2 linked regions of the Cricetulus griseus genome follow. The protein of the gene in region 1 purifies or fractionates together with the protein of each later gene. This does not show direct contact. Links are inferred from orthologs where the notes say so. Each region holds a gene or a part of one and is shown on either strand. Other genes may lie near its edges. The genes, in order: Cabin1 and Ubn1.

Region 1 (10,075 bases):
CTGTGACGTCTCCTCACAAAATGAAGCCCTCTCCTAGCCTTGCACTGCTGCAACTGCTGAATACCTTCATGGCCACTGTAGGCTATCTTAGGCTGGCATCAGCCCTAGGAGCAGAGAGGTTCCTGGGGTCCCACACTGCTGTAGTTGAGAGTAACATATATGCATACCCCGTGTGGCTTTTTATGAGCTTTTATAGATGGACATAATATGTAATGGTGTTTGTTGTCCTGGGTGTGGATATTCTCAGCCCCTAGACATCCTTGTGGCCCAGAATGGAGGCTGTGGGGCTAGGGACTCGGGGCGCTAAGCGTCTCCGGCTCTCCTTCCTCCCCATCCCCTTGGCCCGCCAGAGCACGGGTTTACACTTCAGTGCATGGAATGCTAATAGCAAGCTGCCATGAGAACAGAGCACCACATGGATGCTACTCTGATCCCTATGACTGGCACTTGAGATCCGAAAAACCCAAAACGAAGCCTGTCAAGATCCAGGGCCTGTGCTAGCCAGAGCTTCTCCAGTGATTGGCTACAGGGACCCCACAGGGATCTGCCAGCTTCTTCCAGGCTGCCGAGTTCCTGTGTCAGATAGGTCTCATTAAGTGTGGGTTCACTCATCACTTCTTACCTCTGGCACCCGTGTTGCCCCTGCACCCTGATGGACCCCAAGTGATTGTCAGATCCCAGGCTTGTCATCAGGAGACCGCAGGTTGTGAGGGAGGGAGGGCTGGTGGACAACGCCTCATGGTTAGATGTGGACTGAGAGAAGAGAGGAGAGATTCTACCAAAACCAACTGATATGACTCAAGTGGTGGGGGCCTGGGTATCTTTGGCGCTGCAGTAGGGGAACGGAGCTGAGGGAAGTGAGACTGTAGGGGCTTGGCCTCCAGCAGCAGCTAGAATGTAACCGGTCCCCTCTGGCTCAGCATCCCTCCCCCGGGAGTTGTTTCTGTATCTTTACCAATACCTGTGCAGAGAAATGTATGCCCGGTATGGAAGCCACCATAGGGAACAGGTCCAGTGAGCATGTGGGATACAGCCATACAACAGAGAGAGGGGGCTGAGGCAGGAGGATGGTGAGTAAGGCAGACTCAGCCCACTCAGTAGGACTTTGCCTTGGAAAATTGGCTATAGAGCCTCGCTTGTACTGTCCTCTGCCATGGATGAGGAGGGAACAGGTAGAGGCAGCCATATACCTGTCCTCTTCTGGGTGACAAGAAGAGGCTGAGAGGTCCCTGGCTAGACCCTATGCACAGTGGCAGGCTTGAGGGAACCTCAGGAGGGGTGTCCCCACGGCTCCAGAGATACGGCAGCCTTCCTTAGCCTGTCCTTGCCCATCCCATAGGGCATCTGGCGGATCCCCGTGGATGAGATTGACCGGCCAGGCAGCTTTGCCTGGCACATGAACCGTTCCATCGTGCTGCTCCTCAAGGTTCTAGCCCAGCTCCGGGACCACAGCACCCTGTTGAAGGTGTCCTCCATGCTGCAGCGGACACCAGACCAGGGCAAGTGAGTGAGCGGGCCACCACACACAGCCTGGCTGGCCATCTTCTCAGGCTTGTCCCCACTGCTACCACTTGGCTCGGGGATCTTTTAGTCCAGAAACCACAGCCTTCCCTGAGGGACATCTCTTAGTATCTAGAATTCAAAACTCCACCTCTGCCTCGAGCACCCTAGGACTAACATGTCAATAGTCTGCACGTTTAGAGACCTCCTCCCCCTTCTGCCCAACCTGGGTCTCTCAGAGGCACTGACTAGTGTGGGCTATAGGGAGTAGACATTCAGAAAATAGCCTTGGCACCCCAGGGAAATAGGTGGACAGCAGAGATCCTGGACCTCAAGAACTGTCAGGGTTTCATTGGCCAGAAGGATGGGACACACGGAACAGAGGGTGTCTGCCACAGCTGGGCTAGGCTGTCTGTAAAGCATTATCCCAGAAACCAACCTGAGGGAGAAGAACTTCGCCCCCAAGCCTTCCTTGAGCCGGCACTTAGCCCACCATAGCACTGATCTCTGGCTAACCTGTAAGTCCAGAGGGCTCAGGGTGGTCACTGGGACCAAGTCAGAGGCTTGTTGAATATGAAATATGAGGTTCAAAGGGCACTTTGGGGGAACAGACTTAAATAGGTGGGAATAGTCACTAGTGCTTGTGGGATAAGTGCGGCTCACCACTTAGCTGCACTATATGGTTTCTGACACTGTCCCACTCTTTCTGTCCCCATGTGACCGCAGGAAATACCTACGAGATGCTGACCGCCAGGTCCTGGCCCAGCGGGCTTTCATCCTCACTGTGAAAGTGCTGGAGGACACACTGAGTGAGCTTGCAGGGGTATGTCAGCCTGCCCCACCTCAGCCCAGGCCTGTGTATTAGGGGCCACTGGTGGCCCTGCACAGGGCCTTTTTCCATGTCAGCCTCCCACAAGGCTCACATCACAATTCTCTGGGAAAGCCAGGCTGTGCCTGCCCTCCCAGAAGCAAATAGTCCCATTGCCCAGCCTTCCCCAACATGCGCTTCCTTGTGAGGAGGGTGGGACCCTGGGCCAGCCCCTTCTTGTCGCAGTGTTGTCCAGCTGGCACATGTACGTAACCAGGATGGCACTGGGTAAAGGGATTCGTGGAGGCTCTGAGATGGCGAAGCACCACTAACTTGTCTGTTCCCCTTGTAGGGGTTAGAACACCCAGGACCCAAGCCCTGTGGCCTCTCTGGAGCCAGGATGACCACCGATGTCTCTCACAAAGCCAGTCCCGAGGATGGCCAGGAAAGCCTCCCCCACCCCAAGAAGCTACCTCTAGCCGATGGCTCAGGACCAGGGCCTGAACCAGGGGGCAAAGTGGGCCCTCTCAACCAATTGCCAATGGCCACAGACACAAGGGACAGCACAGACCAGGGTGGGGAGCGGAAAGACAAAGAGAACCCCCAGGCAGGGCCCACTGAACTCATGGATACCAGTGAGGTTGCTGTTCGCCACCCAGACTCAGAACAGACATCACCTCTGCTTCCAGGCCGCCCTCCAAGGGACCGGCCCCCCGAGAGCCGGTCTGCTGAGCTTTCCCTAGAGGAGCTGAGCATCAGCTCCCGACAACAACCCACTCCGCTTACACCAAGCCCAGTAACGCTCACCACCACTACTCCCCCCACCATGGGAGCCCGGGGAGGTGGCCACCCTGAGGAGGCACCTCCAAGGCCTAATCGCAAAAGGAAACTCCTGGAGGACACAGAGTCTGGCAAGACTCTCCTGCTGGATGCCTACCGCGTGTGGCAACAGGGCCAGAAGGGCATGGCCTATGACCTGGGCCGCATTGAGAAGATCATGTCAGAGACTTACATGCTCATTAAGCAGGTAAGCAGCCACTGTGCTAACCTGGGGCTGCATCTGTCTCAGACGCCTTCATTGCCTGGGCTTCTGTTCTCCAGAAGGTTCCTTCTCGGCATATGTGTCAGGGCCCACCCCTGAGGTGGGCTTTAGGTATTGTGCCCACTGTGCACTTTGATTTTTTTTTTCTTTTTTGAGAGTAGGGTGTTTTTTATTTTGCGTGTTATCTCTGATGAGTAGGTAATAAGTTTAGACTCAAAAAACAATGGGGTGTGCATGTGGATTCAACCTTTAAGGAAGGCTAAACTACAGTTCAGGTCCAGCCCTAGAGTGTGGAAGCCCCTGGTCCCTGTACTCTGAGGGGCCTCTGGGTACATTTGAACCACTTCCTGCGATGGGTGGCTATGGTACCCAGCTGAAGGAACAGAGCTGGGAGGAGCCCAAGCATGGCAACCCACAGAGTCTGCCACCTTCTCGATTTGCTTGACCCCCGCCCCACAAGTAGATACGTTACTCCCATGGGAAGAATCCTTCAGGACTTGCAACTGGTGCAAATGGGGTGACTGTCCCTGGTGGTTGTTTTTCCCGCATGGCACCTTTGAGATCCTCTCCCACTGCCTAGTGTTGTTTCTGCCATGAATTCTTAGGAACAGTATGGATGCTGCTGCTTTTTCTGCAGGGGAGACCTGGTCGTTTCCTACATTGCCTGTTCCCATCTTTACTTGACAGTATGTGTGTGGCCATCTCCTTGAAGCCACGTGTGCTTGTTCGGGATAATCCCCCAGTTATCCAGTATCATTGCCCTCCATATGTGTGAGGCTTTCAGTCTGTGGTACACACTTAGCATGGCCCACGGTTACTGTCCTACCTGAACTTGGAAAAGGCACCTCCCATTGGAATCAACAACCCACTCTTAAGGTAGATCAGAAACCAGCCTGTAACAGCCTCTTCAACTGATCAGGTTTGTTTTGAAACAGGGTCTTACTGTGTAGTTTATGCTGTCCTAAGACACTCAATCTTGCATCTTGACTCCCAAGTGCTGACATTAAAACATGTACAAAGCCCAGCTCTCAGCTGAATTTGAAAGCTTCATTGGGGTCTGAGACGTCTGTCAATCTCGGTCCTGGAGGACATAAATGACTGGCTGTGGAAATGTGGCCTGAGGGCCAACTGGGAAGAGCCCTGACAGCAGCAATTGGTACATGGACCTTTGGCCCGCATTCCCACCCCGGCGACAGACTCCGGGTGCTGGGTGTGTCCTCACTGAGGTTAGGTCACACAGGGTGCCCTTCTTGAGCTGGGTTAATACGGCCCCTAAGGGAACGGGGCTGCGAGCAGGTCAGGCACCATGACCTAGGTACCCTAATTTCAGGCATCTCTCTGTTCAGGTGGACGAGGAGACTGCACTGGAGCAGGCTGTGAAGTTCTGTCAGGTCCACCTTGGGGCTGCTGCCCAGAGACAGGTAAGTTCTGTCTTGTACACAAACACATGCACACCACCCACGTCCAGCCTACGCCAGCCCTTCGTGCAGAACCTGTCCCACCCACACCAGAGCCTTGAGCTGCAGGCCCACAAGCAAATATGCCACGGGGCTGGTTCCAGTGGTCATCAGGGTGGTGGGGGGTTCTAGATAATGGGTCATGACCCCAAAATGGTAATGCCTTGACAGGACTCAGACATACATATGGATCCTAAGGTGCTTTGCTTTGGCTCCTTCACGAGTAGAACGGACAGAATTGAGCCATTAGGCTTCATCTAGAGAGGGCCTTAACCTCTGTGACTGGTAGACAGGTGATATCAGAGCCTGGCTAACTAGGATGGAAGCAGCAGGGAATGTGGGGTGGAGGCAGGGGCCAGGGGCTTATAGAAAGCCAGGGTCTCCAGGAGCTGATGATGCAGAGGAAGATGGCCAGAAAGGCCAGCACATGGGCTCCTTCTGGGCTGGGCTGAGAGCAGCCTCCAGGCTTAAGATAGAGCTCCTGGTGACCAGACGTAGTGACGCACACTTTATAATCCTGGCACTCGGGAGGCAGAGGCAGGCGGATTTCTGTGAGTTTTAGGCCAGTCTAGTATACATTGTGAGTTCGAGGACAACCAAGACTACATAGACAGGTCCTGTCTCAAAAAGGGGGATTTGGGGTGGACTCATGTTGAATCTTGCCAGGGAACAGAACAGCCTAGGAGGAGTATGGAGGCAAACCTGGCAGAACTAAGAGCCACCCCCTGTCAAGCCTTGAGAGCCTGCAGGTCAGTCTTATCAGAAGAGGCAAAACAGCCTTCTTGTTAGTAGTCACAGTCACTGTCCATGGCATTGTGGGGTCTGTCTTCTCGTCCTAGGAGTGGCCCAGTTTGGGGATGCCTTGTCCTAGGAGCCCCAGCAGTTGACAGTATCTTAGGGGTCCAGAGAGGCTTCCTCCTGGAAGAATGGGGCATGAGGGCATCAACACGGTCCAGACTCTAGGTCTAGGGGTACAGGGATTGATTCATCTCTGAGCCTGCAGGCTGTGTGTCAGCATCCTAGGTGAGAAGCAGAATCCTTGGCAGGATTGACCAACCGGCCAGTAGACCTCACCACTTGATTGTTGCCCACAAAGCCTGCTGTTTGGTGTATAGCCCAGGCTGGCCTATAATTCATGGCAATCCTCTGGCCTCAGCTTCGTGAGTACTGGGATTACAAGTGTTTACCTCCACCAAACAGTGGTGGCGTCCGCTAGTATCCCATGATCATCCCAGTGGGTGGGGGCTATGGGCAGGCTGGTCTTCTCAGTATCTCCCAAGGCACTCCACCTGTACCCTGTTCCCACAGAGCATTTTGACAAGGGCAGTTGAGACAGTTACAAATGGCCTAGGTCCATCTCTGGGCAATAGGAAGACACCAGGCATTCAGAGCTAAAGTCTCCTGCCCCTGTAGGAATTTCCATTTTGTTTTCTGGGGTCCCAGTTGATGTGCCAGCCTCATGTGGCCTCCTTAGAGGCAGTGACTTGCTTGTTCCTGGTTGGAGGCAGGGTAGGGATGCAGGCCTCGCTCTCCCGTGTCTGCCATCTTGCACATTGCCAGCATTCCTGTGACCTCCTGAGGCCAAGATGCAGGTCTGGCTTCTTGCCTCACCTTCCAGCGGAGTAGACACCCACCACATAACAGAACTTGCAGACTTGTCTCCATGTGAGACATTTTGAAGAGAGAACACCCTGGGTACCAAGGCAAGGCAAAGGGAACTATATGAAGAGTCAGAGACCAAGGGCCTGGCTTCCTGGAAACCAAAGGCCAAGCTGCAGGCGAACAAAAGGCCTGCTTGGCTAATTTGGGGTAGCATTAGTAATACCTTAGGGTCTCAAGCTTGGGGAATAAATTAGTTCATTTTTCCCCCTTGGAAAGTCACTCTCGTGGGTTCACCACCCATCCCTACAGCTCCAAGATTGGGCCCTGCATTCTACAGAGAGACATAAGAGAATGGGTTTCTCCTAGACTCGCACTGCAGAAGGGGCAGAGAAATAAGCCAGGTCTTCATGAGGCCCTGCTAGCATGGTTGGATGCCTCCAGCGAAGGAGAATCTGGATTCTCAACTCTGTGCTGAGGTCACTTGTGTCTTGATAAAATGTTCGAGCTTTCTGACACAACCAACAACCTCAGAGTGCTGCATGGCGTTGTGTTGGCATCCAGGGCCCCGATGAAGTGTCCTGGGGGACTGAACTGGACTGGCCTGGGACAGGGCAATGCATGTTCCGTTGACCTTCCTCACCTTGCTATGTTGCCACAGGCCTCAGGGGATGCACCCACCACCCCCAAGCACCCCAAAGACAGCAGAGAGAACTTCTTCCCTGCAACGGTGGCCCCCACAGCACCTGACCCCTTGCCAGCTGATGCGCTCCAGAGGCCCAGTGACTCCCACGTCAAGCCTCAAACTGTACTGGCTTCTGCCACAGCTGTCATCAGTTGCCCTCCCTCATCATCAACCTCTACCACAGACTTGTCCACAGATCCCGGAATTCCCCGGCCACACAGGCCAGAGGCTACCACCAGCATGACCTCTCTGAGTCCTGGTAAGTGCCCTCTCAATCTACCTGACCACCCGAGACCTTCATACTCTGCTTTCCCATAGCCAAGTCTTCCTCTACCAGCAATGCTTCCCCTGTAGAGTTGGCAAAGAGGCATTCGGGGGGGGGTCCTCTCACCAGGGTGACCCTGGTACAGTCAGCTGCTAGTCCAGGTAGCAGTTGCTGGCAGTATTTATGGCTTAGTTGGAACTGCCTGTGTCTCTAACTCTGGTAACCTTGTCCTCTATCGTAGTTAGGGTCTCTATTGCTGGGAAGAGACACCATGACCACAGCAGCTCTTACAAGGAAAACATTTAATTGGGGTGGCTCACAGTTAGAGGTTCTGTCCATTATCATCATGGCAGCATGCAGGCAGACATGGTACTAGAAAGGTAGGTGAGAGTCCTACATCTTGCAGGCAACAGGAAGTGAACTATGGCATAGAGACCTGAAAGCCCACCCCCACAGTAATACACTTCCTCCTACAATGCCACTCCGTGTGAGCTTATGGAGGCCAATTACATTCAAACTAGCACAGCCGCTGTGAGGAGGACAGGGAATAGGCACCACAACTGGAGAGTGTACCCTTGTCCTGGTCTCTGCCCCAGTAGAGCCCCACGATAACTAGGAAGATCAGGAGCTAGAGCAGGCCAGGCTTCTGTGGAAGGGTCAGACCTCGGCAGTCTTTGAGGCTCCCAGGAGTCTTCAGGACCACATCTGTCCCAAAGTGTAGGCATGACAAGCTGAAGGAGGCAGGACCAGGTTGATGGACTTGTGAAGAAAATACAGGATGTGATAGAGGTGGCACCGGCTGGCTTAATCAGGCGGGAGCTCTCAGCGTGGCAGGCAAGCAGGAACTTTCTTTCCTAGGAGGAAAAGGCATCAAGATAGCACACACGGGAAGGGAGTAGGTAAGGCACCATCCTCCTCACTGGTGCAGATACTCCTTGGGCATTTCCCTGTTGATTCCCAGGACCCTGGTACCATAGCCAGGCTCCAGAGACCCTAAAAGAGCTAAGATGTTCTCTAAGTAGCTTGCTGCCCCAACCAAAGACCAGTCTGCCCACCCTCCTTTCTCTTACGTTTCGAGACCTGGTCTGTGTGCTGGACACCCTAGTTTCAAGGTCCCCTGCCCATACCTGGAGCCATCCCTTAGGGCTTGCTTGTGGTTTTGAGTCACATCTGAGGCTGCTGCCTGCAGCCGTGACTGTGTGGTCTCCCCTCTCATCTGCACATCTGCTAGCCTCGGACTGCTCAGTGACAGGCCCGGAGGTTTCATGCACTCCCTGGGTTACATTGTGATTTGTGCCTGTGTAGGAACCCAGTTCTTCACAGTTGTGCTCTCTGTCACGATTTGTTCTAGAGGATCCTCTGAAAGCCACAGACCAGAGCAGTAAAGATCTGGGGTGGGCTCAGGCTGGCATGCACGAAGGCGCCACACCGAACAGTCAGAAAGCTGCAAGTGACAGTTCCACCTCCAGGTGTCTGATCACAGCTCCTCACACTTAGCAAACAAACGAAGCCACAGTGTGTGGTAGTAAGTTCCAAGTGCAGGAGGCACAGGAAAGTTAGTTGCTATTAGTGGGTCATTCAGGCCCCCAAAGACCTAGCCTGCTCCTCACCTCAGGTTGTCTTACCCTCTGCTTATCCCATGTGTCCCATGACTTTACAGAGTCTGGGGATTGGGCTCCAGACCAGTGTTGGGGATGAAATATTCCTAGTTCAAGGTCTCCTATGCCGTTGCATTCAGGTCATTAGCTGATCACCTGAGTGTGTAACAGCCCCAGGTTCTTAATGGGGCCTCTTCCCTCATGGGTCTCTTTGTAGACAATCTAGTGTTCTGCTAGAGGAAGAAGGAAGCCGTAGCATCTCTTGCAACCTAGTTTCAGAAGTTGAGCATCGCTGGGCCACACACTGCCCTTTGAGTCTATTGGTGTCAGCTGTTCTGGTAGATACATCCAGTAGACATCAAGACCACTTGAAGGCTGGCTGCCTGTATTCCTCCTCTCCCTCACCTCTCTGCCTCCAAGCAAGATCCCACAGTTCACATCTTCTCTTTGGAGGTTAGCTCTGGGAAAGAGTACCTATTTCTAGGTGTATATTTACCAGAGTTAATCCCCCAAAACTAGACTAAATGGCTTTTTACCACAGTGGCACTCTAATAAACATGGGATAGAGACTGCCCTCAGCAAAAACTTGTGTCCACTCGCATCCCCTAACCAGCTGCCAGAACTGATGCTGTGGGCATTGTCCATGGACACCAGAGCTTCCTGGGGGTGATATTGGGACCAGTTTGGGACAGACATGTCTCTTTAAGTCCATACCCTACATCTCTGGAATTAGTTGAACCTTTGTGGAAAGAGTGCCTCACCAGCCGGTTCCAAATTCCTGACTGGCCAGTGGTAGCAGCGTGGCTGGGTCCGCTGTTCCTATAGAGCCTGCTTGCAGAAGCCCTCAGTGACAGACTTCAACAGCAAACAGAAAGTAGGGCTAAGCGAAGGCTGAGACACCTGAGAACACAGATGCTTACGGGACGGACAACCTTCCAAGGAACTTAGGGGTGGGCAAGCCAGGAGGGCAGCTACTGAGGAGACCCAACTGGGTGCTTTCCCCAAGGCAGACAGCTCTGCCTGCCTCCCATGCTGCCCCAGCTTCTCTTTCTGCTGCTGCCTGCTCAAGTAGCCCAGACTATGCCTGAGCCCACCTCAGAGGAGTCATCTAGAAAGATGGG
Region 2 (10,840 bases), on another chromosome or scaffold:
TTTAAACTTAAAGTAACATTTTTCTTTTAAGAGTTATAAATACAAAAACAATAGCTTAAAGAAATCAGGTTATCTAGCCAGAATTAGGCAATCATCTTGTACTGAGGAGAGAGTTAAGCCACTGTAAATTCAAGTTAATACACATTCTTCCCTCTGTGTAACTTCTTAAACTGCTTTCTGTAATATCAAAGACCTCAAAGTAATGATTCTAGATTCCTCCAGTACAGCACATATTGGGAAATAAAGTATTTTATTAAATAACATCTTAGCTTTCAGTGTACCTCAGAACCAGACCATACTACATAGTCATTAAAAGAAATCATCTGGGGATGTAGTTCAGTGGTCAATGGCTTGTTTAGTCTGGGCAAGGCTCTAGGTTTCATCCATAAGGCCACACAATTTTTAAAAAATTGATGAGAGAGAGAAGCGATCGGGAAATGTTGAAGATATAAGAAACTACTTCAAAGTGCCTATAATATGTAGAAAGTTATAAACTCTGGTTCTTACCTGAGGGATATTGCTCCCTCGGGTAAGAGGTGAATAATAATTCACCCCAGAATAATTTTTGCCAGTTATGAAAGAAAGAATACCACATTTTATTTAGGCATGAAGCCAGAATGAGGTGCCATTTTTTCACACACACTTTAGCAAGCCTGAACTAAGGAGTCTCAGAACATTCCCAAAGCAGCTCAGACTCAGAGAAAAACCCAAAGATATCATGAACTCTCAGGGAGTACTACTCACTGGTCTTCTGTTCCAAAAAACTTCACAAAGAAGCATTTCTTTCCACGTGGTTTCTTCAAGTCCTTAGGTGGATTAACAATCTGAAGGATAAAAGGGAAAAAAGGTATGATAACATAGCAGCCTACTAGAAAGGTAATTTGCTATAGCTCTAACTAGGCTAGGGAATAAAAAAAAAAAAAAAGACAAAAACAAAACAAAGAAACCAAAGCTTTATATTTGTCCCATATCTGGCACTTTTCTATTTCGATGTGAAGAAATTATTTCTTAAATAACCCATAGCTAACAGATTGTGTACTGTTTAGTAGATACAGTTTTTACTTCAATGGCTCCTGGTATACAATGTGATCAATGTATACATGTGATCAATGAAGAAACAGAAAACATTCTTCAAAATACTTTCAGTGCAGCAAGAGTTAAAGACAGGAGATGGTGAAAATAAAGGACCACTGAGGCATAGGAAACACCATATTGCAAAAAGTCTACAGACATTTCCTGGACTGCTAGCAAGACTAAAAAACCAGAACATTTGGAAAGCTCTGATGGATCACCTCTTGAAAAATCTGGAATGTCAACTTCTGCAGATATGCACTGGAGCAGCACATATGGTAACAGGAGAAGATTTAAACTTAGTTGGGACAAAAATACTTTGGCTTTTCACTAACCTACATTTAGACTTCTCTCTTCCTGGAGAATCTGTTTCTTCTCTCTTAGATTTAAACACAATGCTACATTCTGATCACAATTGATTTCCAAGATAAAAAACAACAACAAATTTCACAAACCATCTCTGACTGAAGATGTGATTACTGCACATTAAACACTCTGGTTTATGATATTCCTTCAAAACTGATAACTAGAAGTAAAATACTAAGTCTTATCTGAACAAGCCCATTTTAAGTCAGTGTTGGGAGATTAAGGGAAACGCAACACATTCTCCCACAACCCTAACTTCAACTTCAGATGTCTTCCTTTAATAGCAGCAATACACTCACCTTTCCTGGCCAGGGAGGATATCGGCCCAGTTTTCCCCTAGAGAAAATAATACAGAGTCAGAACTTGCCCTGGAAAAGCCAGTCCATCTCCTTCAGTCCACTCAACAAGCAGTTTATACTCCTATAACTCCAGCCTGGCACTTTCAAGGGCCAGAACAAAAGCAGGCAAACTGGGCCTTCCACAGATGGGTTGAGGACCCTCACACATGGAATACAGAAAGTTGTGTGTAAACATACACACACACACACACACACACACACACACACACACACACACACACACACACACACACACACACACACACACACACACACACGCCCGCACCCGCGCTGAGGTCTGTGCATTCTTTCACTGAGAAGGAATATAGAATAACAAAAGCATTAAGAGTCGGTGGTCTGGGGCGTCCCAGTGACAGGGTTGGATACAGTTCTCTCCGTAAACAGACTTCCCCTAAGTCTGGTTTAATTCAGCCTTCCTTTGACAAATGATCATGGAAACCTTCCTCTAGGTCGGGAAACTACGCAGCTCCAAGGAGACAATGGTCAGTCTTGATTCTGGCTGTTGTCGGGGACACAAGGAACAGAACAAGAGGCACTGGTCACCGCCTAGCTATCATTTGCAAAGGAGAAGTGCCCCCTCCCCTCGGTTTCTTCATGGGGCAGCTCCAGGCAGTCTGATTTCGCCACCTGGAACCGAGCCTCGAGCCCACGTCTGTCCCATCGGTTTGGACGGCTCTGTCCCCCGCGAGGTAGCCTCTCTGGCTTTGAGAGGAGCCCCGGAGCGACCCGGGACTCGGGAACCCGCGCGACAACGGAGTTCTCTGCACTGGCAGCCAGCGTCCGGGTTCCAGAGCCATAGGCCTCCCCTGGGATGGCCTCGGGGTTCAGAGCCCGGATCGCCGCGGCCACCCTCGGCCTCGGTCCCCCGGGGACCGGACAGCCCCTTCCGCCCAAGCGTCGTTCGCAGCACGGCGGCACCTCGTCTTCCCCAGTCTCCGCCGCCAAGAGCGCATAATAAAGCAACTCCTGGGCCAGCCGCAAACGCCGCACCTAGGAAAAACAGCTTCGCGCCGTCTTTCCCTCAGCCCTGGCCGCCGGGACTCACCACACCAAGTCGCCGAGCCGCAGACTCACAGCCGCCATCTTACCACCCAACCACCGCCGCCGCACAGGCAGCCGGGAACTTCAGGTCGCCGCGGCACCGCCCATTGGAGTGGGCCTGACCACGTGACGGGGGCCTGCTGTCATCCGCCAAGCGGGTGCGCTGACGTCACCGCGTCGCTGGCGCTCATTGGGCGGCTTGGAGACCCGTGACTTAAGCGCCGCGCTCTCAGCGCGTCGAAAACCAGAGACTCCAGGCTCCTGTCCCCTCCTCCCTCCGGCTCGTGACAACGAAGCGTCCACGGTCCAAAGCAGCCGCGGCGGAGGCGGCGCGGCCGGACTAGCGCGAAAGGAAGCCGACTGAGCTGCCCAACCTCGCTTCCGGGGCTCTGGACTCATCTCAAGTCTTTCTTGCCGCTTCCGTTACGGCCGTTAGTCGGGCGCGGGCCCCGGGCCGTTCCTGAGCCTGAGGTGCCGGGTGGACGGGTCTTGGAGCTCGTGTGCTGCCCTGACTGACCCCGGCGCGGCCTGGAAGCCCGTCTCGGTCCAAGCCGCGGGCCCGAGAGGCACTGGTTTCCCGCGAGCCCGCGCTCGGGGCGGGAGCTCCAGCCTGCTGAGGAGCGCCCCGCTCGACGGTCGGTTTCCGGAGCGGCATCCGCGCCAAGCGTCCTCGGCGTCGCCTGACTTGTTTTCTTGGACGTGGACTTGGCATATCTCGGCTCCCCCCTCCACCCCCCCCGTCCGGCTGGCGAGAGAAAGCGGCGGTTTGTAGAGAGGCTCCCTTCCCACGGGCTGGGGACCCGGCCATGGGCTGCGGCGCGGGCCCTCCGCGCGCCCGCATGCAGCGCTCGGGAGCTGGCCGCTGAGCCGCGCCGCAGCCCGGGGGTCCCGGGCCGGCATGAGGACCGCCACGGGGGGACGTCTGCGGCCCGCGTCGGCTCTGTGGACAACGGTGTGTGCCGCGGTCCGGTCCAGCCTCCCGCGTTAGCCTTTGTAAGTAATGTCTCACTTTGCAAGAAGTTGTGACAGCTGGAAGACAGATGACAGGGTAGTGGGAACTGTTAGCTGCCCAGGGGCAGGGCGGCTGCCCTAACTTCCTCAGACGTGGTTGAAGCCTGACTTTTGAGTAAGAAAGTCTCACTCCTAGAACAGACGGCTGGGTGTACTTGGACTTAAGGGTGGACTTAACTTACAGCTTACTCTCTTGAGTCAGTGCCCGCTCGGAAGGTGTCTGGTCGTGCCCATTTCCCTAAGGCAGTGTCCCCATGTAGAGGCTTTGATTGTAAATTGCTCTGGGGACCGTAAGGTGAAGCTGGGTGGGCGCCTTGGGTTAACCCCAGCCTGTTGTTTTTTTTTTTTTCCCCTTTGGAAACAAGTTTTTCAGAAATACCACAGATTAGTTGCAGGGCTTTCATTTACACTGTGTTATTTTAAACACAAACTGACCATTTAAAATGTATTTAATATTTCATAAAATTACTTAATAAATTTCAACAAGTGTTCTTAATTTAGAAATAGAATTTTGGAGGAATTAAAAAATATTTTAATGACTTTAATTGTGAATCTTTACAAGTAGACCTAGAAGTGATCCCATTAAAGTAAGGAATAGGGCAAAGGATACATTGTCTAATTCTAGCTAATGAAATAAGACAGCTATCTAATTCAAGCTAATGAAATAAGGTAGGAAGCAAAAATAAATGTGAAAGGAAAATTGTCATTTTTGCAGATAATAAAACTGCATTTTGCAACAAAAAAGAAAAGCCATTAAATAAGGAAAAATTAGTGATAAAATTAGCATACACGTTTCTCTGTTTCATCAGTAGTCTGTTCAAAAAGTAAAATGGTTAAGAATGTGTGAGAACAAAAACAAACAGTCCCTGGGAATACCTGGAGCTACAGAGGAATCCAGTGGGTTTTGCATAATCTTTTTCCCTCCTGGTTTTTCAAGGCAGGGCTTCTCTGTAGTCCTGGCTGTTCTGGAAACTCACTCTGTACACCAGACTGGCCTCAAACTCAAAAAGATCTGCCTGCTTCTACTGGGATTAAAGGCATGAACCACCACCTCTCTAGCCACAATCCTTTTTAAAAAGAATTTTCCTCCCCCTTTGTGGCATTCTAATGCTTAACTCATTCGGAATATTTAAAACCTAATCTCACAGCCAGGGCTATATGGAGAGACCCTGTCTCAAAAAAACAAAGGAACAAACCCTAATCTCTAGGTTTGTGTTTGTTTTTTTCCCCCCCCTTTTTGTCATTTTATTTGGAGATAGTTTCATGTAATCCAAGCTGGCCTTCAACTCCTTATGTAGCCAAGAGTAATTTTAAACTTCTGATCCTCCTGCCTCTGCCTCCACAATACTGAGTTTACAGGTGTATATTACTATTCCCAGGTTAACACTGGCAATTGAACCCAGGGCCTCCAGAGTACTAGGAAAGTACTCTACTGTGCTACATCTCCAGCCCATTCTTAGTTATTTTTAAGACTTGTGAAATTTCATTAATGTTTTGTTTACAAATTTAAGAATTTATATGTCAAAAAATTACTTGAGGGTCTGCAAGATGGTTCAGCAGATAAGGGTGCCTGCCTCCAAGCCTGAAGACCTACATTCAGTCCCTGGAACCCACATGATGAAATGAGAGAACCAACTTCTGTAAGTTTTCACACATGCACACACATGCATGTAAAAGTAAAACTTGGACAAATGCTTGAGACAACACCAGTTTAAACAGATTAAACTTTCTTAACTATTTTAAACCAGGTTAATTCTCTTAAGTATTTTAAGTTACAGTAGTTTTTTTCTTAATTCTCTCAGATACTTCTTATTTCTTTTCTTTTTTCTTCTGGTTGTGAGGGTGGGGATGTTTCCAGCCCTGGCTTTCCTGGAACTTGATCTGTAGATCAGGCTATAGTTCTTGGCCTTAAATTCACAGAGATCTACCTGCCTCTGCCTTCTGAGTGCTGTGATTAAAGACATGTGCCACCACTGCCCTGCTACTTCATATTTCTAAAGAGATAAACTTGTAAGCCTTATAGTAAGTTCTTTCCAAGATCATAACTCATAAATTTAATTGTATAAGTGCAATTTGGGTTCTTGTATGGACTTTAGAACTTAATTACATTTTCTTAAGTATTTGAAATTAAATACATAAGTTTAACATGACCTTTAATATATATCTGATTGTCTTAAATTGTTTCAAATGGCCTAGCCCAAGAACAGAATAGTATGTTGTGATGATCATAAAACTTCTTAACCAAAATCTGACTTGTAAGCGTTAATAAGTGATTTACTTTGTCCTCTAGTCTGTCTCCTGCTGGCTAAAGCTTGCACAGACTTTTATAGCTAACAGGAGTATTGTTACTGGCTGTGTGGGTTTGAGGCGAGCCCTCTAAAAACCTGTACTGAGATGAGGCTACATTTTAAAATTTTTGGCTAGACAGAAAGACTAGGATCTGGTTGCCACTTTCTTCATCCAATTGAGTAACTTGCTGATCGTTTCTTACAGTAAGATTGTGCTTCCTCTCACTGGGGAGCCTATAAGTCTTTAACTTTCAGTTCAGGTTTATTTTCACAGTCAGGTGAATTTTCACCAATGTCCTGAGACCTTTGGAAGTTTCTTTTTGGGTTCTTTTTTCCCAGTATCCTAGTGCATGTTGGTAACCATTTTCTATAGGCCAATCTATTTTACTGCTTCGTGCCTGATTAGAAGGATTTTTTTAAAAGTCTTTTGTATAGTTTTTACTCCCTTATCTGATCTTTATCACCTTGTTACGATGATAATGAATTTTGACTATATCCCCCCCCCCACGGAAATAGACAAATCATCCTGAATTCGTATTTATTGTTTGTTTTGTGAAGTACAGTCACATTTTGGAGGGGACTTGCACAAATGAGTCTAAAATTGTTCTGAAATAGGTTAAAAGCCAGTTATTATTATTTTTTGATAATTTATTTTTATGTGCATTGGTGTTTTACCTGCATGTATGTCTATCTGAGGGTGTCAGATCTTGGAGTTACAGACAGTTGTGAGCTATCATGTGGGTGCTAGGAATTAAACCTGGGTCCATTGGAAGAATAGCCCATGATCTTAACCACTGAGCCATCTCTCCATCCCCCAGTCATTATTTTTAAAAAGAAAATAAAGATGAACTTTTAATTTTAGTATACTAAAAGTATAAGAGTTTCCAAGACAGAGCAGTACTAGTTAAAGAATCTTTCAAGTACTTGATTAATGTAACATGGCTTTTAGCATGGACCATAAGTATATAAGGTCTGCTATGGTCTATGACAAATCAGCAGGGAAAGGAAGCTTATTCAGTAATTGGTACTGGGGAACAAACAAGTTAGATCCTATTCTCAGACCTTAGACCTTAGAGCATATTAAGTTCAATTTAGGTTAGAGTTAAAAGTGAATATCTATAAAAGACTGACAGTGTGATTTCTTCTATATGGTCTGTTTGCAAAGGGCTTTCTAGGCACAAAGGATATGAGAAAAAAAACAAAACAAAACAACAAAGTTTGACTGCATCAATACACAGGCTTTTGACCTGAATTATTTGATGTGGGATTATTTCTAAAATAGGGAAAATTTATATTTACAACTATTTACTTAAATGAGTTAAGGAAAATTTATCAATCAATTCTTCTTGACAAGGAAATTTTTTTAAATTTGTGTAATTGACAACTATTTTTGCTATTTTAAAAATGTTTATCTTTGTTATTTTAGTTTGACCTGGGCCTTCTTTTCAATATTAACAGAAATCATGCAGTGACACCTGCTAAGACTTGTTGGTAGCCATGTCGGAGCCCCACAGGGTCCAGTTCACCTCTCTCCCAGGTTCTTTGAATCCTGCATTTTTGAAGAAGTCCAGGAAAGAGGAAGTTGGAGGAACAGAACAGCATCAAGACTGTGAGCCAGCTGCAGCTGCTGTTCGGATTACACTCACCCTCTTTGAACCAGATCATAAACGCTGCCCAGAGTTCTTCTACCCAGAGTTGGTGAAGAACATCCGAGGGAAGGTGAAAGGCCTTCATCCTGGAGACAAGGTACATGCCAGTAGATCCAGAGTTGCTCTGCAGACCTAACATGAAGATACCAAAATGTTCACATGGGCCTTTCTTTATATCAGAGAGGTGAGGCTAGAGAGGCCTGGGCTTCCCCAAGATTACCACTGATCTAGAGCAAAAACTGGGTGGGAAGAGAATTCTTTTAAGAATCCTTCTCTTGACTTATGCATATCTCTTCTGACAAGTAGCCCAGTACTATCTTGAGTAGTTTCTGTTTCTGAATGCATAAAAATCTGCTTCTGTGTTTTTCTTTTTCTTTCTTTTTTCCTCTTTCTTTCTTTCTTTCTTTCTTCCTTTCTTTCTTTCTTTTTCTTTTTTTTTTTCCCCCGAGACAGGGTTTCTCTGTGTAGCTTTTGGAGCCTAATCTGGCATTCACTTTGTAGACCAAGCTGGCCTCAAACTCACAGAGATCCATCTGCCTCTGCCTCCCGAGTTCTGGGATTAAAGGAGTCTGCCACCACTGCTCCGCCTAAACTCTTAATACTTTTTTTTTTTTTTTTTTTTTTTTGCCATAATTGACTTTGTAGGCTTCAAGCTGTTTGGAAATAAGTTTGGTTCCTTAAAAATTATTTGTAACTGATCTTTTTCTTTTTTTTTTTTTTAAAGTTGTATTTATTGTGTATACAGTGCTGCATGTATACCTGCACAGCAGAAGAGGGTTGTTTCTTTTTTTTTTAAATTTTTAACTTTTTTTTTTGCTATGGGGAGGGGATGTGGGGTTTGTGTGTGAGAGAGAGAGAGACACCCAGAGAGAAAACATAACACTTGTGGGAGTTAGAACTCTCCTTCCATTATGTAAGACCTGGGAATGAAACTCAGGGTATCATACTTGGTAGGAAATGCCAAGAGTCTCATGTTGCCTAGGCTGACTTAGGCTCACCAGCCTTGATGTATTTCTTTTCTTGGCACATTTATTTTATTTTTTTTTTTAGTATGGAACTTCCAAACATGTGTGCTTTCAAATAAGCATGGAAGTAGAGAGTACAGTATAAGCCACAGCCATGTACCTGTTACCCATCTTCAACTGTTACAGTGTTGCCTATTCATTAACTTCTTTTGTTTCTTTCTTTTCCTTTTCCCCTTCCTTCCTTCCTTCCTTCCTTCCTTCCTTCCTTCCTTCCTTCCCCTTTCTTTTCTTTTTTTTTGTTTTGTTTTGTTTTTGTTTTTTGTTTTTGTTTTTTTTTTTTTTTTGAGATAGGATTTCTTTGTGTGACCTTGGCTTTCCTGGAACTAGCTCTGTAGTCCAGGCTGGCCTTGAACTCACAGAGATCCATCCACCTGCCTCTGCCATTACCTGGCTCATTAACATTTTTTAAAGTGTGTGTGTTTTTATATGGTTTCAAACAGTGTCTTTGTTTGCTTTCTATTGTTGTGATAGACACACAGAAGCAACTTGAGGAGGAGGAAAGGATTATTTCAGTTTACAGCTGACACTACAGGGAAGTTAAGGCAACAGAAACAGGAGTTATGGAAGAATACCATTTATTGGCTTGTTTCTTTTGTCTTGCTTAGTTTCCTTTCTTATACAACCTAGGGCTACCTGCCAGGGGTGTCACCACCCAGAACTGACTATTCCCACATCAGTCATTAATCAAGAAAATACCCCCCTCCCCCCCACTTGCCTACAGGTCAATCTGATGGACACTCTCTGTTGAAGTCTCTCTTCCAAGATCACTCTAGCTTGTGTCAAGCTGACAGAAAAATCAAGTAGCATATAGTCTTACTTTATAACCCAGGATGACTTTGAATTTAAGATTCTCCTGTGGCAGACTCCTAAATGGTGGGATTGCATGCTTATACCACTGTATCCCAACTAAAATAATCTAAATACAATTTTTAGTTGAGTCATACATACAGGAAGAATACATATGATAAAGTTTGTGGATTTTCACAAACTCAGCACAAGCCATGCAACCTATACACGATTCACAAAATACAACATTTAGCAGGATACTAAAAGCGCTTCTGCTTGCCTCAAAGAACACGGTGCGCCTTCCTTACAGACTACCACTGTTAATCAAGACCAGTTTTGCATATCTTTGTATTTTTGTATGTGGAATTATATATCATGAGTAGAGCTAGACGAAGAGCATTTTAAGCATTTACTGTATATTAGTTACTGTGTTAGGTTAGGAGTAGAAGGTGAGTAGGATCATACTTGTGGCATTTTGTTCTCTAGAGTGGTTTTTACTAGAACAAGGATGAGGCTAGCACCTGGCTCACAGTGTTTGAGGGTGGAGTGAGATCATATCAGTAAAGTCTCTAGCATAGTGTCTTAGTGCCAAGTACTCATTTAGTCTGACTCATTTTAGGGGTGTTTGGAGGAACCATGTCTAGTTAGAAGAATTCCCTACTTTTCTTTCTTTCTTTTTTTTTTTTTTTTTTTTTTTTTTTGGTTTTCGAGACAGGGTTTCCCTGTGGCTTTGGAGGCTGTCCTGGTACTAGGTCTTGTAGACCAGGCTGGTCTCAAACTCACAGAGATCCACCTGCCTCTGCCTCCCAAGTGCTGGGATTAAAGGCGTGCGCCACCAACGCCCGGCCTACCCACTTTTCTTAAATAAAAATGTATAGAGTTTTTTTGTTTTTTTTTTTTTGTTTGTTTGTTTGTTTGTTTTTGTTTGTTTTTTTGTTTTTTTTTTTTTTTTTGAGGCAGGGTCTCATGTATCCCAGGCTGGCTTCTCAATTTACCATATAGCAAGATGCCCTTGAATTCCTGAACCACCTTCTTCCTTCCACCTTCTGGGTGCTGAGATTAAGCACATGCCACCACACCAAAAAATGTGATTTATTATTCTTAAAGTTACGTTTTTCCTATACATACGTGCGTGCGTGCGTGTACACTACCTGTGTACCTGGTACCCATAGAAACAAGAAGAAGGTATCAGATCTCCTGGAACTGGTGAGCCACCATGTGGGTGCTGGGAATTGAACCCAGGT

The links.
Region 2: the proteins of Cabin1 (region 1) and Ubn1 purify together in Homo sapiens (affinity purification with western blotting; 6 studies listed by BioGRID, with this or other methods). This does not show direct contact. The link is inferred for Cricetulus griseus from reciprocal best matches to the Homo sapiens genes CABIN1 and UBN1.

What each region holds. Positions count from the first base shown.
Region 1 is NW_023276806.1:262,933,245-262,943,319, forward strand, and holds part of Cabin1 (calcineurin-binding protein cabin-1), read left to right. Parts: intron 1-1,339; coding exon 1,340-1,503; intron 1,504-2,226; coding exon 2,227-2,323; intron 2,324-2,660; coding exon 2,661-3,335; intron 3,336-4,696; coding exon 4,697-4,771; intron 4,772-7,067; coding exon 7,068-7,350; intron 7,351-10,075. UniProt on the Homo sapiens protein: May be required for replication-independent chromatin assembly. May serve as a negative regulator of T-cell receptor (TCR) signaling via inhibition of calcineurin. Inhibition of activated calcineurin is dependent on both PKC and calcium signals.
Region 2 is NC_048600.1:41,640,874-41,651,713, reverse strand, and holds the start of Ubn1 (ubinuclein-1), read left to right. Parts: upstream 1-3,855; 5' UTR 3,856-5,488; intron 5,489-7,594; 5' UTR 7,595-7,633; coding exon 7,634-7,882; intron 7,883-10,840. Other genes in the region: putative oxidoreductase GLYR1, read right to left, coding at 745-824, 1,737-1,773, 2,842-2,879. UniProt on the Homo sapiens protein: Acts as a novel regulator of senescence. Involved in the formation of senescence-associated heterochromatin foci (SAHF), which represses expression of proliferation-promoting genes. Binds to proliferation-promoting genes.